Arabidopsis thaliana: one gene and its partners. The protein of the gene in region 4 purifies or fractionates together with the protein of the main gene of each other region. This does not show direct contact. Each region holds a gene or a part of one and is shown on either strand. Other genes may lie near its edges.

The links.
Region 1: the proteins of PIP5K1 (region 4) and PRF3 purify together in Arabidopsis thaliana (affinity purification with mass spectrometry, with the first as the bait; one study listed by BioGRID). This does not show direct contact.
Region 2: the proteins of PIP5K1 (region 4) and PLC1 purify together in Arabidopsis thaliana (affinity purification with mass spectrometry, with the first as the bait; one study listed by BioGRID). This does not show direct contact.
Region 3: the proteins of PIP5K1 (region 4) and RAC6 purify together in Arabidopsis thaliana (affinity purification with mass spectrometry, with the first as the bait; one study listed by BioGRID). This does not show direct contact.

The regions. Positions count from the first base shown.
Region 1 is NC_003076.8:22,909,361-22,912,573, forward strand, and holds PRF3 (profilin), read right to left. Parts: upstream 1,351-3,213; coding exon 1,228-1,350; intron 861-1,227; coding exon 723-860; coding exon of another isoform or gene 657-722; coding exon 522-656; downstream 1-521. Other genes in the region: AT5G56590 (O-Glycosyl hydrolases family 17 protein), read left to right, coding at 1-76. UniProt on the Arabidopsis thaliana protein: Binds to actin monomers and regulates the organization of the actin cytoskeleton. Can increase the critical concentration (Cc) of actin assembly in vitro.
Region 2 is NC_003076.8:23,703,731-23,708,843, reverse strand, and holds PLC1 (phospholipase C1), read left to right. Parts: upstream 1-1,840; 5' UTR 1,841-2,092; coding exon 2,093-2,398; intron 2,399-2,470; coding exon 2,471-2,667; intron 2,668-2,752; coding exon 2,753-2,888; intron 2,889-2,965; coding exon 2,966-3,142; intron 3,143-3,212; coding exon 3,213-3,539; intron 3,540-3,622; coding exon 3,623-3,778; intron 3,779-3,863; coding exon 3,864-3,950; intron 3,951-4,087; coding exon 4,088-4,387; 3' UTR 4,388-4,613; downstream 4,614-5,113. Other genes in the region: AT5G58680 (ARM repeat superfamily protein), read left to right, coding at 1-597; AT5G58660 (2-oxoglutarate (2OG) and Fe(II)-dependent oxygenase superfamily protein), read right to left, coding at 5,042-5,113. UniProt on the Arabidopsis thaliana protein: The production of the second messenger molecules diacylglycerol (DAG) and inositol 1,4,5-trisphosphate (IP3) is mediated by activated phosphatidylinositol-specific phospholipase C enzymes. Required for secondary responses to abscisic acid signals.
Region 3 is NC_003075.7:17,023,304-17,027,661, forward strand, and holds RAC6 (RAC-like 6), read right to left. Parts: upstream 2,564-4,358; 5' UTR 2,212-2,563; coding exon 2,113-2,211; intron 1,993-2,112; coding exon 1,905-1,992; intron 1,819-1,904; coding exon 1,709-1,818; intron 1,635-1,708; coding exon 1,571-1,634; intron 1,145-1,570; coding exon 1,080-1,144; intron 1,003-1,079; coding exon 937-1,002; intron 850-936; coding exon 748-849; 3' UTR 534-747; downstream 1-533. Other genes in the region: AT4G35940 (uncharacterized protein), read left to right, coding at 1-290. UniProt on the Arabidopsis thaliana protein: May be involved in cell polarity control during the actin-dependent tip growth of pollen tubes.
Region 4 is NC_003070.9:7,733,045-7,739,273, reverse strand, and holds PIP5K1 (phosphatidylinositol-4-phosphate 5-kinase 1), read right to left. Parts: upstream 4,614-6,229; 5' UTR 4,222-4,613; coding exon 3,125-4,221; intron 3,031-3,124; coding exon 2,866-3,030; intron 2,698-2,865; coding exon 2,532-2,697; intron 2,318-2,531; coding exon 2,207-2,317; intron 2,127-2,206; coding exon 1,933-2,126; intron 1,844-1,932; coding exon 1,713-1,843; intron 1,628-1,712; coding exon 1,534-1,627; intron 1,266-1,533; coding exon 965-1,265; 3' UTR 502-964; downstream 1-501. UniProt on the Arabidopsis thaliana protein: Catalyzes the synthesis of phosphatidylinositol 4,5-bisphosphate and phosphatidylinositol 3,4-bisphosphate.

The DNA of each region.
Region 1 (3,213 bases), on a different chromosome or scaffold from region 4:
CCAATGGATTTTGAAACTCTGTCTCATGATCTCGTTGTTCTTCAGTTTGCAAACTATGAATTCACAGGCACTGTAACCGAAATCTGAAAGAAATGTAGCAATAGCAAGAAAAAGCAAAATTTGTTCCTGAATAGTTTGGTCTAGAAATTGTGACACCGTCTAACGATTTTGTCTTTCTTCCTGCAGTGGAATCGTTGTACAGACATTCTATCTGAAAACTTGTCTGATATCAATTGTGTAACCACAGTCTTGTGATCTTAATCATCCTCACTATAATACACAAAAATCTCAATCTGCATAACCAATAATGAACTCTAAAGCTATGGTACCACACTGCCATTCATTAAATATTTCAACTCGACACAAATGTAGACAATACTATATTGTTTTAGAAATAATCATACAACCCCAAGATCCATCACAAGGTAGGTAATACACAGTCGGATTATCGAATAGTTTTTCTCTCACGACACAACTAGAAGATTACATAAAGCAATATGAATATAGTAGCAGCTTAAGTTTCAGAGCCCCGATTCAATCAGGTACTCACCGAGATTCTCCACAACCATATTGCATTGTCCAGGAGTCATTGGTTCATCATAGATACCAAATACCAAAGCTAAGGTGGTCTTCTTGATGGTAACACCACCAGCTCCCTACAATGGAAGCAAAATCAACAACAGTTCATCAAAAATCAAACAATATTCAAACAGTCTAGTTACCTTCTTTCCTCGAATGACGGCATTAGGCTCTCCTTGGATTACCATGTACTTGTTACCACCAAGGAACAATCCTGTTGGGGCAAGTGTTCCAGGTGTAGTAAAATCGTCTTTGATGCCCTGAATTTCCTCAGGCTTCACCTAAAACAACAACAATACAAAAACTATAAGAGAAACAAATTCAGTCTCTCTTAAACATCTCATGAAAGCAACTTAATAACTTATGAACAACATAACCAGTACAAAGAACTTGTCTATTTCCAAAGGTCAAAACTTTCTTCTTAAAAGAGCTTTAAACTTGTGATTCGAACTTCTTCTAATGCATCTTTTGCACTCTATAACCTCAAGAACATATGAATCAGAAAATCAAAACCAAACATTGAAAATTGCTGAATTTTGGTGGTTTAGTAGCTAAACAAAACCAAAGGTTGCAGATTTCAACATAGAACCAAACCAGAAACAGCAAGATGATAAGAATTGAGTAGTCGGTATAGAAATAAACCCTAACCTGAGGAAAATTGTTGCTCTGAGCCCAGACGCTACCGTCTTGGCCGAGAATTGCGGCGGCGGTGAGGCGGTTGCCTGCAACATCGCACATTAAGTGATCGTCGACGTAAGTCTGCCACGACATGTTTGTTTTCTTCTTCTTCTTTACTTTTGCTCTGCTTCTTCTTTGTGGTTTATCGGAATGTTCTAGAGATAGCGTCGAAACTACGAGTGAGTGAGTGTGTGGCAATGGCATTTACGCAAATATATTGTTTTATACATGATTGACACGTGCCAGACACAGCTCTTTTTAATAGTTTCTAAAGAGGAAAATTGTATTAGAAAATCAACCAGTTATAATGAAAAGGGAGGAAATAAATAAAAAAATAGAAAACTTATTTAAGGAAAACCAAAACATTTAATTAAATATGGTCTTTTCCTAAAAAAAAACAAATGTTTCGATTTTCATTATAATTGATTTTTGTTATGAATAAAGATGGATGTCCATTATAAGGCCCTCATCTAAACCCATCATCTAGATGTTTTTAGGGTTTTATCTTTTTTTTGTACTCCTATATAAAGAACCATTTATCTCAATGGAATAACACACTCATTTCTTTTATCTCTTTCTCTGGTTATAACACGTTATCAGCACGTTCTAAAAGGTAGATATAGAGATTCTTACATTTTTTTTAAGAACCATGTTTACTTATCGACTCATGGTTCATAGTACTTATTTTCTATTATTGAAACAAAACAATATGAGCCGATCGATGATTATAGTATAGATCGGTAAAAGCATGTTTTCAATGATTCAATAAAGAAGAGAATAATGCTTATCATTTGTTTCTATAATTACTATCGCATGATTCAATGATTCTACAAAGAAAATCGTTAAAGAAGAGAATCATGCTTGTTAATTGTTAATTTTTGTGATTTACTATTACAATATTGAATATATAAATTACCAATTTTATAATTATATAACTAACTTTGTAACTATTCATAACCCGGTGGTGGGTGATGCAAGCATGTATTAATGTTTTAGCATTCCAGTTTTGAATAGTTGCATCTATATTCAATATCATTTTATAAATATTATATTGTCTAAAATCCATTTATGATTGATATGATATCCCTTATTTAACTCCTTTGATTAAAACGTTATACATATCTTATCACTTTTAGATATTGACTTTTCCATATTAAATATTTGATTTTCATATATTTGATTGTGTTATTATTATTTTTACTAAAAACATTTCAAGATAATTTTTCTTTTTATAAGATTCCATATATCTAAATCTTTGTGTTATTATTATCTAAATCTTTTTATAAGATTTCCATATATTTGATTGTGTTATTATTATTTTTACTAAAAACGTTGCAAGATAATTTTTCTTTTTATAAGATTCTTTTCTCTAAATCTTTGTGGTATCTAAAAAAAAATTGTTCATGGTTTTGTCGTAATTTTGCACGAAATCATTTTACCCAAATCTTGCACGAATTCATATTACCCTAAATAAAAGTTTTGTCAAGATATATGTAAAATCCAGATTTTGCACAAAGTAGTTTTATTCTGATTGGTTTTACAATATTGCATTAAAATTATATTAATATATAATATTTGATTATTTTATGAAATAAATTGATTGATAAATAACTTAATTTAAAGGTATAATCACTTATAGAAATTTTTATGAATGACTATTTTAATGTATCTTAAAAAGATATCATATTTTTGATGGTCAAAGTTTTTTCAAGAACTTAAATTATCACCAGAAATTGAGAAAATAAATATGGTAAAAAAAAAAAAAAATAAGAAAAATTTCTAACGATGAAATAATCTAGTATATCAAGTAGTATAAATCTTATTAAAAGACTCTAGAAGAGCATATACATTGCTTTCTATGGGAATACAAAATTAAAATCATCGATGGGGTATAATTCTCCAAATCTTAAAGTTAATATGATGAGATATAAAATACATTATGATTCTAGAGTGGAA
Region 2 (5,113 bases), on a different chromosome or scaffold from region 4:
ACGAAAGAGAACGCTGCTTGTGCTCTGCTCCGGTTATCTCAAGTGGAGGAAAACAAAATCACGATTGGGAGATCAGGAGCGATTCCTTTACTAGTGAACCTTCTAGAAAATGGCGGATTCAGAGCGAAGAAAGACGCGTCGACGGCTTTATACTCGTTGTGTTCGACGAACGAGAACAAAACCAGAGCTGTTGAATCTGGGATTATGAAGCCGTTAGTGGAGTTAATGATTGATTTTGAATCGGATATGGTTGATAAATCAGCGTTTGTTATGAATCTGTTAATGTCGGCGCCGGAATCGAAGCCGGCGGTTGTGGAAGAAGGAGGAGTTCCGGTGTTGGTTGAGATTGTTGAAGCGGGAACACAGAGACAGAAGGAGATAAGTGTGTCGATATTGTTGCAGCTTTGTGAGGAGAGTGTTGTGTATCGAACCATGGTGGCTCGTGAAGGAGCGGTTCCTCCGCTCGTGGCTTTATCGCAGGGTAGTGCGAGTCGTGGTGCTAAGGTAAAGGCTGAGGCGTTGATAGAGCTTCTTAGGCAACCCAGACAACAACAACAACAACAACAACACTTTGAATCTAACGACAACGAGAGATAACACTTTAGTTTGGGCTTTTTATTAATGGGCCTTTGTAGAATACATATCTTGTTAATTATTTGGACGGCCCAAGCTGAACACATATCTTGTTAATTATTGGTCGATGTGTTTTGCATCAAAGTTGCATTACTTGCGTAGAATGATCTATACAAGAGTAGCATCGAAACAAAACAAATACACGTACTGTCTATTTAGGAGATAATGTTGTGAACGATTTAGAGAACAAAATCCCTATAGAACTAACAAGACAAAAAATAAAAAAGAGCAATAGATTCTTTCACAAACAATAATGGAGTACTACACTGTCAACACAGAAACAAATGCAAGACTAAAACAAAAAGCTAATGTCCCCACAAATAGGAAGATGGGTTAAGGATATGGTTCAACTCAAGATTTTCTTACTTTTTTCAAAACAACATTCAATTTAAGGATGCATTTATTGTATAAAGGTTTTGGTTGGATAAATTTAACATTCATTCAAAAAGACTAAAACAAAAAGAAAATTAAAAACCATGCGATATGCTTTTTTTATCACTATGGAACAAAAAAACAATGAAAAGTTGAAAACCGTAAACTACATGTAGAATTAGGCATGGGCATTTGGGGTAACCGGTCCGGTTTCGGTTCGGAAACTTAAGTATTTCAGTTAGCAACAAAATCACTGAAGTAGGCCAAAATTAAAGTTGGGTTTGTAATGACAAAATTTCGGTTCAGTTCAAACAAAAAACAAATATTTTTGGTTTGGTGGTCCTCAATCAAACCGGCCATCCAATGATGGACTTTCAGGCCAAAAGTTAAAACCGAAATCTAAGCCGGCGAATTGCCAAATTTGAGCTCAGTTGGGTTCAACCAAACTTTCAGTTCAGGTTGGTTCGACCAAACCTCAGTGGCCAATTCGATTCGGTCCGAGTGCCATGCTTATGTAGATTGTAGAAAGCACCACTTTGAAAAGTTTTCCTATAGCAATGAACTACAATCACATCATCCTTAATAGTATTGACCAAAAAAATCAATAATATTGACAATAAATAATCTGTATTGACAATTACATCATGAGCGAAAAAAACAAAAAGGTTAATTAACACATGAGCTGTTTCACATGATGATTTGCTCATCAATGACAAATTAAAATTTGTTGATTTTTTCTTACGGCGACACGCCTACCACCATTTTCTCAGCCATTGGCTACACACACTTCGCCACGTTTTTTTTTTACTTTGGGTCAACGGTTCTGTTTTCAGTCAGCGGCTCTGTTTCGGTTTATAATACTAACTTTATTTCGGACAGCCGACAGATCATTCTCATTTTTCTTTCTTTATCTATTTTTGTACTAAGAATAATTCATAGATTTTTTCCTAGAAAAATTCATAGATTTAATTGGTTCATTGAGATAGAGATAGAGATATAAATGTGTTTCACGAACAAGAACAAACACATCAAGTCTCTCTGTTTCTTGTTTTTCTCTCTCGCTTAACTTTCACAAGAAAAAAAAAAGATGAAAGAATCATTCAAAGTGTGTTTCTGTTGTGTAAGAAACTTCAAGGTGAAATCAAGTGAGCCACCTGAAGAAATCAAGAACCTTTTCCATGATTACTCTCAAGACGACAGGATGTCTGCTGATGAGATGCTCAGATTCGTGATCCAAGTTCAAGGAGAAACACACGCTGATATCAACTACGTGAAGGATATCTTCCACAGACTTAAACATCACGGCGTTTTTCATCCTCGTGGAATTCATCTTGAAGGATTCTACCGTTATCTTCTTAGTGATTTCAACTCTCCATTGCCTCTGACCCGCGAGGTAAAGATTTAGGAATATAAGATCTGTTTACATTGAGAGAAAGAGTTTTGTTTAAAGAGATTTTGGTTTCAGGTTTGGCAAGATATGAATCAGCCATTATCGCATTACTTCTTGTACACGGGACATAACTCTTACTTGACTGGGAATCAGTTGAACAGTAATAGCAGCATCGAACCGATTGTGAAAGCTCTGAGAAATGGAGTTCGTGTCATTGAGCTTGATTTATGGCCTAACTCTTCAGGAAAAGAAGCTGAAGTTCGTCATGGAGGGTTTGAATCTTACCATAAAACCACTTCTTGAATCACTTACAAATTTAGTTGTTTTCTTGATTTGTTTTGGTTATGATCATCTCAGGACGTTAACGAGTCGTGAAGATCTGCAGAAATGTCTTAACGTGGTTAAGGAGAACGCGTTTCAGGTGTCTGCTTATCCTGTTGTGCTTACTTTAGAAGACCATTTAACTCCAATTCTTCAGAAGAAAGTCGCTAAGGTTAGATTCTGATAAATTCATGGAATCTTGTTTAGAGCATAGAGTTTGATTGATGGTGAAACTAAAAATATATGTAGATGGTGAGTAAGACGTTTGGGGGATCATTGTTTCAATGTACGGACGAAACTACAGAGTGTTTTCCTTCACCAGAATCACTCAAGAATAAGATCTTGATCTCAACAAAGCCACCAAAAGAGTATCTTCAGACCCAAATCTCAAAAGGTTCAACAACGGATGAATCCACTAGAGCTAAAGTAAGAAATAAAAACATAAAGTAATCATTAGTGTTTCTTGATGTTTTCTGAGTGTCTTGTGTTGTGACAGAAAATTTCGGATGCAGAAGAACAAGTTCAAGAAGAAGATGAGGAGAGTGTAGCGATTGAATACAGAGACTTAATCTCGATTCACGCTGGGAACCGCAAAGGAGGGTTGAAGAATTGCTTGAATGGAGATCCTAACCGAGTCATACGGTTAAGCATGAGTGAGCAGTGGCTTGAGACTCTGGCAAAAACCCGTGGACCCGATTTAGTAAAGTTCACGCAGCGGAATCTTTTGAGGATATTTCCCAAGACTACACGGTTTGACTCATCTAACTATGATCCTCTCGTTGGGTGGATTCATGGGGCTCAAATGGTTGCCTTCAATATGCAAGTAATAGTTTTAACACTATCCTCTATAGTATATAAGCAGAGATTCTTAATAGTAAATACCAACTATGTTTTGTGTAAATGCAGAGCCATGGGAGGTATCTGTGGATGATGCAAGGAATGTTTAAAGCCAATGGTGGATGTGGCTATGTGAAAAAGCCTGATGTTTTGCTCTCCAATGGTCCTGAAGGTGAAATCTTTGACCCTTGTAGTCAAAACCTCCCGATCAAGACAACTCTTAAGGTTTGGTCTTTGTCTCAGTTTCTGTTTCCTGTTCTTGAAAAGTAAGGAAACATCTTAGCTTCGTGTCTTTGTGGTGTATGATTAGGTGAAGATCTACACTGGAGAAGGATGGAATATGGACTTTCCTTTAGATCACTTTGACCGATACTCTCCTCCTGATTTCTACGCAAAGGCAAGTGTTCATTCATATGTAGAAAACGCAATAAGAACATGGTTTAATATCCCTATGAAGAAGCTAATAAACCCTAATTAGGTTTCTTGGCTATCAAGTCATTGGATATATCTCAAATGTAGTTGTTTTCCTTTCAGGTCGGAATCGCAGGGGTTCCATTGGACACAGCAAGTTACAGAACAGAAATAGATAAAGACGAATGGTTTCCAATTTGGGACAAGGAGTTTGAGTTCCCATTACGTGTTCCTGAGTTATCTCTTCTGTGTATCACAGTCAAAGATTACGACAGTAACACTCAGAACGATTTCGCTGGCCAGACATGTTTTCCGTTGTCGGAGGTAAGGCCAGGTATTCGTGCCGTTCGGCTCCACGATCGTGCCGGAGAGGTCTACAAGCACGTGAGACTGCTCATGCGGTTTGTCTTGGAGCCTCGTTAGCGCTTCGTGGATAATGTTCATTTCATCACTCGTGTCAATGTCGGTACACGTTTTTTATGTTTGTAATGTTAAGGTGTCGGTATACATTAGTCAGTCATACTAAGCCATACGATAATAAGAGATGTGAAAAGAAAAAATTAAACGTAATTAAGATCAGCAAAATTATGAAACGTATGACTTTAATATAAACAATTTGTTTGAACAGTTGATAAAGATAATTTTGTTTAAGCTGTTGTTATGGTCCACTAACCACTAACGCCAATTGCTAAATTATGGCAATTCACACTAATGCGAAATTTCATTATGGCAATTCACACTATGACACTAATTAAAGCAAAACTGCTTCATAATGGCAATTATCACTAAAGCAGAATTGCTTTACAATGCCACAAACCAATTTTCAAATACTGTTTGTTGAAATATCACTATCACAATAGAAAATAAGTAGATGGATCGTCGTCATTGTAGAGCAAACAAAGAGTGTTTTTAATGTTCAACAAACAATGTTATTGTCAAGTTCTCTACGATGATCAGGGCCAGCCCAAAATTATTTCAGAGTCAAAAACACAGCTTTCTTTGTTTGAGTCTTATTGATGGACTAACTTAAGTATCCAGAGTTTGGTAAACCAAATAGATACTAAATTTCAGACACGGTCAGAGAAACAATGGAGAATTTGGGTTGAATCTAGGAAGGCCAATCTTGGTTCCAAGAGACTGAACATCAGC
Region 3 (4,358 bases), on a different chromosome or scaffold from region 4:
AACCTCCTAAAAGCCTATGCAATTGCCCTCCATCCATGGTGTTGCAATTCTTGGACGTAGTTGAGAATTGGGTCCCTAACACGATCGAGAGAAGAGTAGACCTCATTAACTCTGAAGATGAAGAATGTTGGTGGTCCATGAAGAAGCCGCCAAGTAGCACCACAGAAATATGCAAACAACTTAATAGAGAGAATGAGATCAAGCAAGTAGGCAATACAATGGGGTGGCCATGTGCTCGCCTTTTACCAGAAGCTGATGTCTACGCCTTACCTTACACAGTCCCGTTCTGATAACATCAAAGAGCAGGAAGTTTTTAACAAGGAATCTGGTCGAGACATCCATGTTCTGGACCAGACAGTTTTTTGGTTTAGCCTTAAAATTCCAAGGTTGTATAAGAAGAACACACTGTTTGTTATTCTTTGCGGTTGGTAACCAATATAGTAATATCAGTATTTCGTCTCAATCTCTCTTGTTCTTATAATAATAGAATGAGAAATCGAAATGGAATTTTCATGTGAAGTGGATTAGTAACATTATCACAATTGATAAAACATTTGTAAATAACTAGACAAGCTTTCTCGGCTATCAGTTAAAATAGAAGTTGAATTAACCTCACAATTCGTTTTGTACGGAACTAAGAGATCACAAATGAAAACGGAAAACAACAACAAAAATGAAAAAGCGATACTTTTTTAAACCACCCTGTCATCCTCATCTCAAAGAGCTTCTTGACTTCCATGAGTGCTATTACAAGATGGAGCAGGCCTTTTGTGCTTTGTTCTTCTTTTTCTTCTGCTTTGGAGGTTGAAGGACCACTCTGATCGCTGCATCAAACACGCCCTTCACGTTCTGCAGTTATAGTCACATTGTTTTCATCAAAAGATGAAGAATCCAACACCGAAAAGATGATTCATGAGATGTCTTTTATTCGTTTACCTCTTGTGATTTTGAACTGCACTCGATGTAAGCTGGCGCTCCAATTAGCTTCTTCAGCTCCTCTCCCTTCCATGCAGAGAGGGAAAATGCTTAACGGTGGTAAAGCTGATAAAATTGCACTGAGGAAATAACTGTATTCTTACCTGAACAGTGGTAATAGGGACAGCACCAGGATGGTCGATGAAAAACTGTTTGTCATCTCGAAGATCTGACAACAACCAAGGTTAGACAATCAAAAAGGCCAGGATCATGAGTTGACTGAAGATCTTGCAAGTGTCTTTTATAAAGGTATACACTTGCTATACAGTAGCTATTTCATTGGAGGATGCTTAAAGGCGTGTGTTATAGGATATGGTTGCTTTATCACAAGAAGTGCAAGATACAAGAAGAAGCCTGTTGACCAATGATATTCTCTGAAAACTACCCTCAGTTTCACCTAACGAATACATCTTGAACATGTACAAGTTTTAACCACAATCAAGAGAAGGTGAAGTTTTATGTCCACTAATGTCATGATATATTATACCAGAGCAGCTTAATAAAGTGAAAAGGAAAATGGCAGTGTAAGCATGGGAATCAGACATATATATAAATAAATGCATAAACAAGGACAAATGTGAGAGGAGGAAGTAACCTAGTTTGGTTCCAACAAGGACAATTGGGACACCAGGAGCATAGTGCTTCAACTCAGGAATCCACTGTAAAAGAAAAGAAGCATCAAAATTTGGAACTCTCAATTGTTAAATAGTCGACCAGTTCGGACGAAACTGACCTTCTTGGAAACATTCTCATAACTAGCCTTACTAATGAGAGAGAAGGCAAGAATGAAAACATCAGCACCACGGTAACTCAAAGGTCTTAATCTGTTATAGTCCTCTTGCCCTGCATAAACCAAAAACATAATTTCGACCGATTCATCAAGGAAAGCTCTCTCACCAAGGATTATGAATTGGATCATCATTCATTACCTGCAGTATCCCACAATCCAAGATTCACCGTGGCTCCATTAACAACCACATTTGCACTAAAGTTATCGAAAACAGTCGGAACATAATCCTGTTCCAATGGAAATGTATACAACATTTTTAGTATGTATGGATCCCAATTCATATATGGCACAATCAGAATCAAATGAATCAGATATCAAAAAAAGGAGGGAGAATGATTGATGAATACCGTGGGAAAGGTGTTGCTGGTATAAGAAATCAGCAAACAGGTTTTACCAACAGCTCCATCACCAACGGTGACGCACTTTATGAACCTTGATGCGCTCATTGCCTCTTCTTCTTCTTCTTCGAGCCAAAATATGTCACAATTTACCAAAAAACAAAAGAGATCAACCTCAGATTTAAACCTGAGGAAGCCAGAAACACCCACAATGTGAAGCCAATTCCTCCGAAACTTCGACCATTATCTTTCAATTAACCATCTCAAAACCCTAGATATGTATAATGTGGAAACAAACCCCCCAAATAGAGAAAATCAGAAATGTGAAGAAGGAAGGAAGATGAATAAACAAAAGGGAACGTGAGGACGATGAATTGGAGGATGCGAGAGAGAGAGAGAACAACAACTAGAGAGAGAAAGAAAGAAGTAGAGAAGAAAGTGATGGCCGGAAATAATTGCCATTGAAGCGTTCGATTAATCTCAGCCATTCAACCTTCCGACTGTTTTGCAATCTTTTTACTTTTTTTACTTCTTCTGTTGTCTTTTAAATAATTACTATTTTACTTCTTCTTCTTTTTTCTGTTTGATTTTTTAGTGTATATTCAAATTAATTTATTTATCTTGTATACAAAAAAGTAAAATAAAGGAGTTGCACATAATGTATTTTGTCTTTGTTGTTTAAAATGCAAATAAGAAAAATTAACACTGGCTAAAATTATACGTGTTTTTAACTGTCTGTAAAATTTCTAGTACGATTTGTTTTACTATTCTAATTCATTTTTTTACTAGTTTTTCCGGATGCTCACCAAATGTGAAAAAATCTCTAAGTTATGATTCAATATTTATGAAACCAATCAGCCAATTGCGGTACAATAAAGTTGTAATGCACTAGTTCTTCCGCATACTCGCCAAATTTATGTTAAAATTTCAAGGATGTTTGATGATATTGAATGTGGTTAGTTGAATTTGCATGTTGGCTAGTGAGAATGTGGTGTATGGACCAAACCTGAACTTATTTGTATGTCAACAAAGTGTGGTAATATTTTCTGCCAAAAATTGCAATAATCTCAACTAACAAATATTTTACCGAGTATGTAAAATGTCAACATTGGTCATATTTGCCTTTCGTGAGGAAAGATGTCTATGCTAATGAACTTATTCGGGTCAACGTAACCTTCCTTGATAAGAAAACCTGCGACAGCGAGAACAAAAACGTTAAGAGTTGGGAATCTTTCACAAACCATGTAATTAATTTGTCGGAAAAAGTTAGCATTTGAAAATGTTCAAAGTAAAAGTTTTTATTTGATGTGTGTACGATGATACAATCACAGTTTTGATAAACCAGGATTCGTGGAGTTGGAATCAGTTTTATCAAATCAACATTCCAAAATTACTAACAAGTTTGAAAATATGCAATGACAAAAAATCATAAAAATCATAAATACACGAGCTACATATGGATGAATGAGAGAGTTAATCTATAAAATCCGACCAAATAACTCACCAAGTCTACGATTTATTATATGGCTTTTAACAGAGTAACGACTGAGAGAGACATATAAGAAGAGCATTGATGAAACTAACCCTGAACATCACGGCGAGTAGTCAACTGGAAGTCCAAGATGATACCCCGGCGCAACAAGCCCGCTATCACCGCCAAAGGTTGCCGTGGATCGTTTGTCGTGACTGTGACGGATCATTTATCTCTTCTCTCTCTCACCTGTAATTGTCAGAAACAGTTTAGATGGCAGAAATTTCTCAAAGATAAATTACACTATAATAACTCTCTTTAACATTATGACTACAATTCCCAAAATCAAGATGTTTCAGAAAATACACGGCTCAATTCGTCAAACAAAAAGGAGAAACATCAGATTCTTACCAAACCCTAAAGCAGAGTCTCAAAGCAGAGTTCTTGATTACGATGATAGTATATAATGAAATCACGGGGAAATTGGGTGAACGCTCTCTGTTTTTCTTTCTTTGCGTTGGTTGTAGTGAAGCTTGATGAGCCTTCCATTTCTAGCTATTTGCTTGGAGAGAAACCTGCAAGAACACTCGAAAAAGAAAACAGAGGAAGATGTGAGTTTAGACAAAGTGAAAATAGTATGATGCGTAAAACTGAAACTGACGAAACTTTAGTGAGAAGAATAGACCATGAAAGTGTTTCGATCAACAACATAAGTCGTAGAAAAGTAAGGAAACATCTAAGAATTCTTACCAATCTTAAAAGCAGAGTTCGGCTAGTGACTACG
Region 4 (6,229 bases):
AAAGTATTAAACTTAATGAAAAACAATAATTGTCTACTCACTACTGTTTACTTTGGAAAGAAAAAATATACAAATTCTTTTAATGTAAACAAAATATAAAACCATGTCAAGTCTGAAAAAACCAGTTTTAGTTTTTTTGAGAATTAACGATGATGCAATGGATTGTTGATCAGAATCCAAGCGTAATTAAATGAATTCATAGATAAACAAACCGTTTCAGGCTTCTTAGACTTTTAGTTTTTATTAAAAGATCTAAGACTTTAATTTGAATAACAGTCTTATACTTTGTGAAGCTATCACATATGAAAAAAACTAGACTTAAGAGATTTAGACAAAAAGAATGCAAAGAAAAGACATGTGGTGTGCTAGTTTAGCTTTATCTACTTTTCATGAAACCAACCCCAATTCAACTCTTCCTTCTTTGACCATATACTATTTTACTAATCAACTATTTTAGCATTTACTGTTTACCATTGACATTGCTTTAGGTTCATAGATTATGCAAGTGGTAAAGTTGTATTGAAAGAAAATAAACAACAACAAAATAATGGACCCCTTAACTTTGGATGGTTAAGGAGGGATCCTATGAGAATATGGGATTAAGAGAACTAATTAATGGTATTACTATCTTTCATTTTTTTACTTGTACACTTTACTTTATTCCACATTTTCGGAATTTACCAAACCCTTTTTTCCTTGTAATTTCTTGTCTGCCTATGTACTAAAACCTTCAATCTATATTCACATATATAAATATTATATATATAAACGGCTCACCACAAAAATAAATAAAGCCCCTCCCCAACCCAAAAACTTGATTGGTCATCTCAAAATATATAAACATAAAATTCCGAAATCGCTTTTCTTCTATCCTTGAGATTTACCTTTTTACTCTTCCCGCGCAGCTTTCTTCACATTTCCGTAGAGCCGAGAATGTTAGTTAAAAACTTTAGCCTTCTTGTCTTTAGCCCTCTTCAATGAAGATCCTACTGATGAAGTCTCTGAACCTCTTTGAATAGAGTTTAGGATCAACAGCTGAGATCGAAGCAGGATCGGCTTGCAGTGACTTATACGCATGCTCGATCTTTTTGGTTATGTCGTAGTCTTGCAAGATGTCAATGACTCCAAAGTAGAGAACAACTTCGTACATCTCACCGTGTGATGGATAACTGGCTCCTCCTGATGAATACTGATCAAAATCGCTTCTCCGGGCCATTCGTTCAGCTTTTGCTGGCATGTTTGCGCCTAATCTGATCGATGGTTTCCTGTTAACACAAGATTGAATATTAAGCAAAAATTGATGGATCATGAATTGATTGATTCTTTTCTAGCAAACAGGACCACATGACTTGTTTAAACACTCCCCACACAAGATTGCCAAGCACATTTAATCATTCCTACATATATTATATACTTAATCCGAAATTGAATCTCTCAACCACTTCATGTCTCAATGGCTATGAATGCAAAAAGCTTCCTCTGTGAAGTCAACTTCTTAACATTAAAAATGAAACCCGGATCAATGATTGTTACCTGCCAGCTAAAATCCGGTCCATGTCTTGAAGTTCTGCCTCTAGGAAGCGACAACCGCGCATGAATTTTTCATTCTGATATGAATCTATCCTACCTGCATAAGATTGACATAAATCTCACGATAGGTCGACTTCAGCGGGGGGACACATATAGAGAATGATCAATGATGTATAATTTACCAGATCTCAAAACGAATGGAGAAAGCCCCATCTTTTCTCCTGTGTTGTCATCACGGAAGTGAACACCAACTAAAAGGCTATAATCCATTATTCTCTCTGCTTCCAAGAACTCACAATCGCGTTTTATTTGCCTGATCATGAATACCGATCAGCATTAGCATATGTTTAGGTAGCTGAATACTTTGCATACGCAAAAAATAGTGAGAAGCATGGAGCTTACTTCATAAGCTCTTGATACCAGTTTCTCTGAAGACGGAAAGAAAAATTGAGATCAAGGTCCTTGAGAGTCGTGGTCTCATCAATTTCTCCTTCAGGCTTTGCAGTGCTACGCCCATGAGAAGACCCTTTGAGGTCAAACCGTCTCTGGATTCTATACTCGGAGCAGAATAAGTTTCCCATAACGATAAACCGAGTCTGATCAAAAATGGTAAACAAAACAGTAAATTTTCTTGACACTAAGAGACCCATGAAGCTTTAGATGAACAAACACATACCTTTTGGCCACCAACAGGTTTGACACAATGAACACCGTAGAATCTAGTCACAAGGGAGTTTTCGTATTGGCAGACATGTTTGTAGTAACTTGGAAGCATTCTTAGAAGAACCTGGATAGAAGAAGACAAACACTTCAGGTCAAATTTCTTTAGCTAATCACAGACTTAGTGGAGTTTATGATTGAGAAAGTAATGTGAAAGCAAAGAAACAAACAAACAAAAAGGGTGTCCCATCCGCTAATCAAGTAAATTAACTTGAACAGACAAGCATTTTCAAATATGACAAGAGAAAGGTCAAAAACAAGAAGAGCCAACAACTACTAACCTTGACTTCTGATTTCTTCACCGTTTTGATCATAAATCTATCATCTTGAGTTAGGTAAAAAAAGCTTCCACTCTTTCCAGGTGAAGATAGTTCGCGGAGAGCATCATTTCCACATATAGCTAGCATATACTTAGCTGGATCCACTTGGAAAAGCTCCCTGAGACGTCTACAAACAAAATTTGCCCAAAAAGAAACACAATTCATCACAAATACGTCCACAATCTTATCAACTAAGCCCAAATTTGGGTATAGCCACATCATCAAACTTAAAACGCATTCAGCAATTTGCTAAATTGAAACACTTTTCATAAAAATAAAAAAGCTAAAAAGTTACCTGAACACTAAAGGGCAATAATCCTTCCACCTGAAATCCACTGACTGATGCGGCGGTGTTGTCTTAGTCCCTTCTGGTGGAAACCTTGTCCAAAATTTCTCCTTTGGATCGAAATCAGTCTGTTTAAGATCACGAACAATCGAAGCATGTTTGCCAACAGAATACCTAATTCAATCACACACAACCTTCATTAGAAACAACAGAGAAAGCCATCACACACCAAACAAAAACACCAATCCACCAAATTTGAGATATTTACCTGATTCCTAATTGCAAATTCAGCATCAAATCATATTTCTTATGCCCTTTAGAAATAGTCTGTCCAGGTTTCTTAGCCTCACCATTAAACCAACAAGGATTCTTCTTAAACTGCCTAAACCCATCACGATCAACAGAGATCCTATCTCTATAAATCATGGAAGCTTCAACATTATCAATAATATCACAAGTGATATCTCCAGCTTCACCATCAGATTCCCAAATACAGATTCTTGGAAAAACTTTCTCACCTCCCAAACTCCCAGCTCCACTATCAACAGAAGATCTCTTCCTATTCCCCACAATCAAATCATTCTTCTCAACACCATTAAAGAAACTCCTCATAATATTACTCTCATTCCAAGCACCAACACAAGAACTCCCATCACTCCAAGTAAACACACCATTCCCTTTAGGAATCCCATTCTCCCACAAACCTTCATATCGATTCCCATTAGGCCAAACAAGCAAACCTTTCCCAGAAATCACACCACTACGCCACTCTCCAGTATACTGATTCCCATTTCTCCACACATACCTACCTCTACCATCTTGTAGATTCCTTCTCCAAGTACCTTCATAAAAATCTCCATTTGCATAACGCTTTTGTCCATGTCCGTGTTTTCTATCAGCAACCCAAGTTCCTCTATAAGTATCTCCATCAGCTCCAGTGAAAGTACCAAAACCTTCCATTCTCCCAGATTTGAATTCACCTTCGTAAGTAGCTCCACTTGGCCATGAGAATTTGCCTTTCCCTGAAGCTTTCCCTCGTTTCCAATCTCCTTCGTACATGCACCCATCTTTCCATAGATACTTCCCGGATCCATGTGGAAACCCACCGGAGAAACTTCCGATGTAAAGATCTCCGTTTGGTAGCGGCTTCTCAACATCTACTAAAGGCGTGGGAGTCACGCGCCGAGTCGTTCCTTGAGATCTCGATCTCACCATTGGAGTAGATTGAGCTAACAACACCAAACCGTCTCGTCTCTCTACTTCTTCACCGAAACGCAGATTCTTCTTCTTCTTCTTCTGAACGACGCTGCTTAAAATGACTTCACTAGCTTCTTCTTCTTCTTCGTCTTCTTCTGAATCACTCATCAGAGAATCTTCACTCCAGTCCTCGATTCACAATGTTCCTCAATCTCAGAAAATGTCATTCGTTTGAAATCTAGAGTTTTAACAGATTTCTTAACAAAAAAAACTCAGTGGAGAAACGAAAAACACATTTCTCCGGCGATTCACCACCGGATTTTTCAAATGGGTTTGAATAAAGCTAGAAACTTTATCAAGAATTTGGTTACTCAGAAGATATCACACAAGTATTTCTAAATCTGAGAAGAAGAAACCTTGTGAGATTTCGTACAGACGCTACAAGAACATCAAAAGAAGAAAAGTGATGAACAGAGAGACACAAGAGAGACGATGATTAATTTTTAATTTATAAAATAAAAGTATTGGGAAGCGGACACAAAAAGCCCACCAGCCCGAAAAAGAAACCCACAATATTATTAAAAATTTGAAAACGACACCGTAGTGTAAACATAAAATTAATAATACATACGTACTCGAGATTGTTTCGAATTTGTCTTTGTATAATTTAAAGCGATATGATATAGTATGGGCTACTTCATACGTTAATAGTAGAAGACCAAATGATTAGTTTATGGTCTACCTTTGTTTACTTATTTTATTGATAGTAGAGAAATGATTATGATTGAGAGGATTATCGAGAAATCTTGATTAGGAAGCGAGTTTCCAGGTGATTGTCTTTGATGACTTACTTAATTAATTACTTTTATGATTCTAAGAATTTTGTTCTCTTCTGTGATTAGATGATCGTTGTCTTGGTGGGTTTTTTTTATATCTTTTCGAGTATTGATTCTCTTCCTACTTGCGATGATTTATTAATTTAAAGGATACTTATATTCCCATACGGATAGTGATAGATACAGAAGATGGTTGATGCAAGTAGTATATGAAATTCTAAAGTTGCGTTATTTTTTTAACGTTTTTATGTTGATATTGATAGTGCCAAAGGTTTACATTTTAAAGTTGAGTTTTTGTCCGCCATTTGTAAATTAGGTCTAATATTTTATTTGATAAATAATCGAGATTTTTTATAGTTTGGTTTCGCATAAATAGACATACATCATCCTATAGGCTATAGGTTCGTGTACTTTGATTTGAAGTGCTAGTAGTAGGACATGATTGTCATTCGAATAACCACAAACATCATAAAAACTATATTGCGAGTTGCGACCGTGCACGTAAACTTCATAATTCAAACGTGTAACATTTTAACAAAAAAAAATGCTACAAAAATACCTAATACACCACATATTAAGTATGTATATTTCTAAAATTGTATTATACGTACGAGTGGTCAGTGGTTAGTTACCACGGCTGTGGTGGTTAGAGTATCTAACACATTTGATCACCATTTAATTAAAATCTTTATAAAAATATATTACAACCGCATTAGGAAAAATTAAAAATATACTTCAAGGGAACGTGGGCGTACGTAATCTGAGTTTAAACTTTTTGTATAAAAGAAGCAATTGAATCACTCAAAATGTTCTTAAAACCTTAATTCAAGTTTGATACTCCTTGTTTTTATATCTTCATAAACTGACCATTTAACATTTGTTTTCTTGCGTTTGTTCTACGTGTTGGAGCTATTCGACACTTATTTATGTTATTTCGTCATTACTACACCGTTTATTTTATTTCGGTACTCGAAGCCGACGTTAATGCTGGGGGTGGATCCCCAGTTAAAACCTAAAAGTACTCAATAACTTTTGTCCACATTAATGAAAAAATCACACGATACGAATAAATATAAATATTAGGAGTATAAAATATGGTTGAATGAATGTATTTTTTCCCATTCATACACCATAACGCGTTGGTACTCTACGCCATACTGAGATACTTTCCCATTCCATATTCAAGGCATCTCATTACTCTTCGCTGTATACTTGAAATCTGAAAGCTCTAGTGTTTCTTTTTTGACGCTTTCAATTCTAAAAACCCACGAGGACACATCTTTTTCGATTCCTAGCCATCATTTATTTGTGTATATGATTTTTATATTGTCATAGAATAC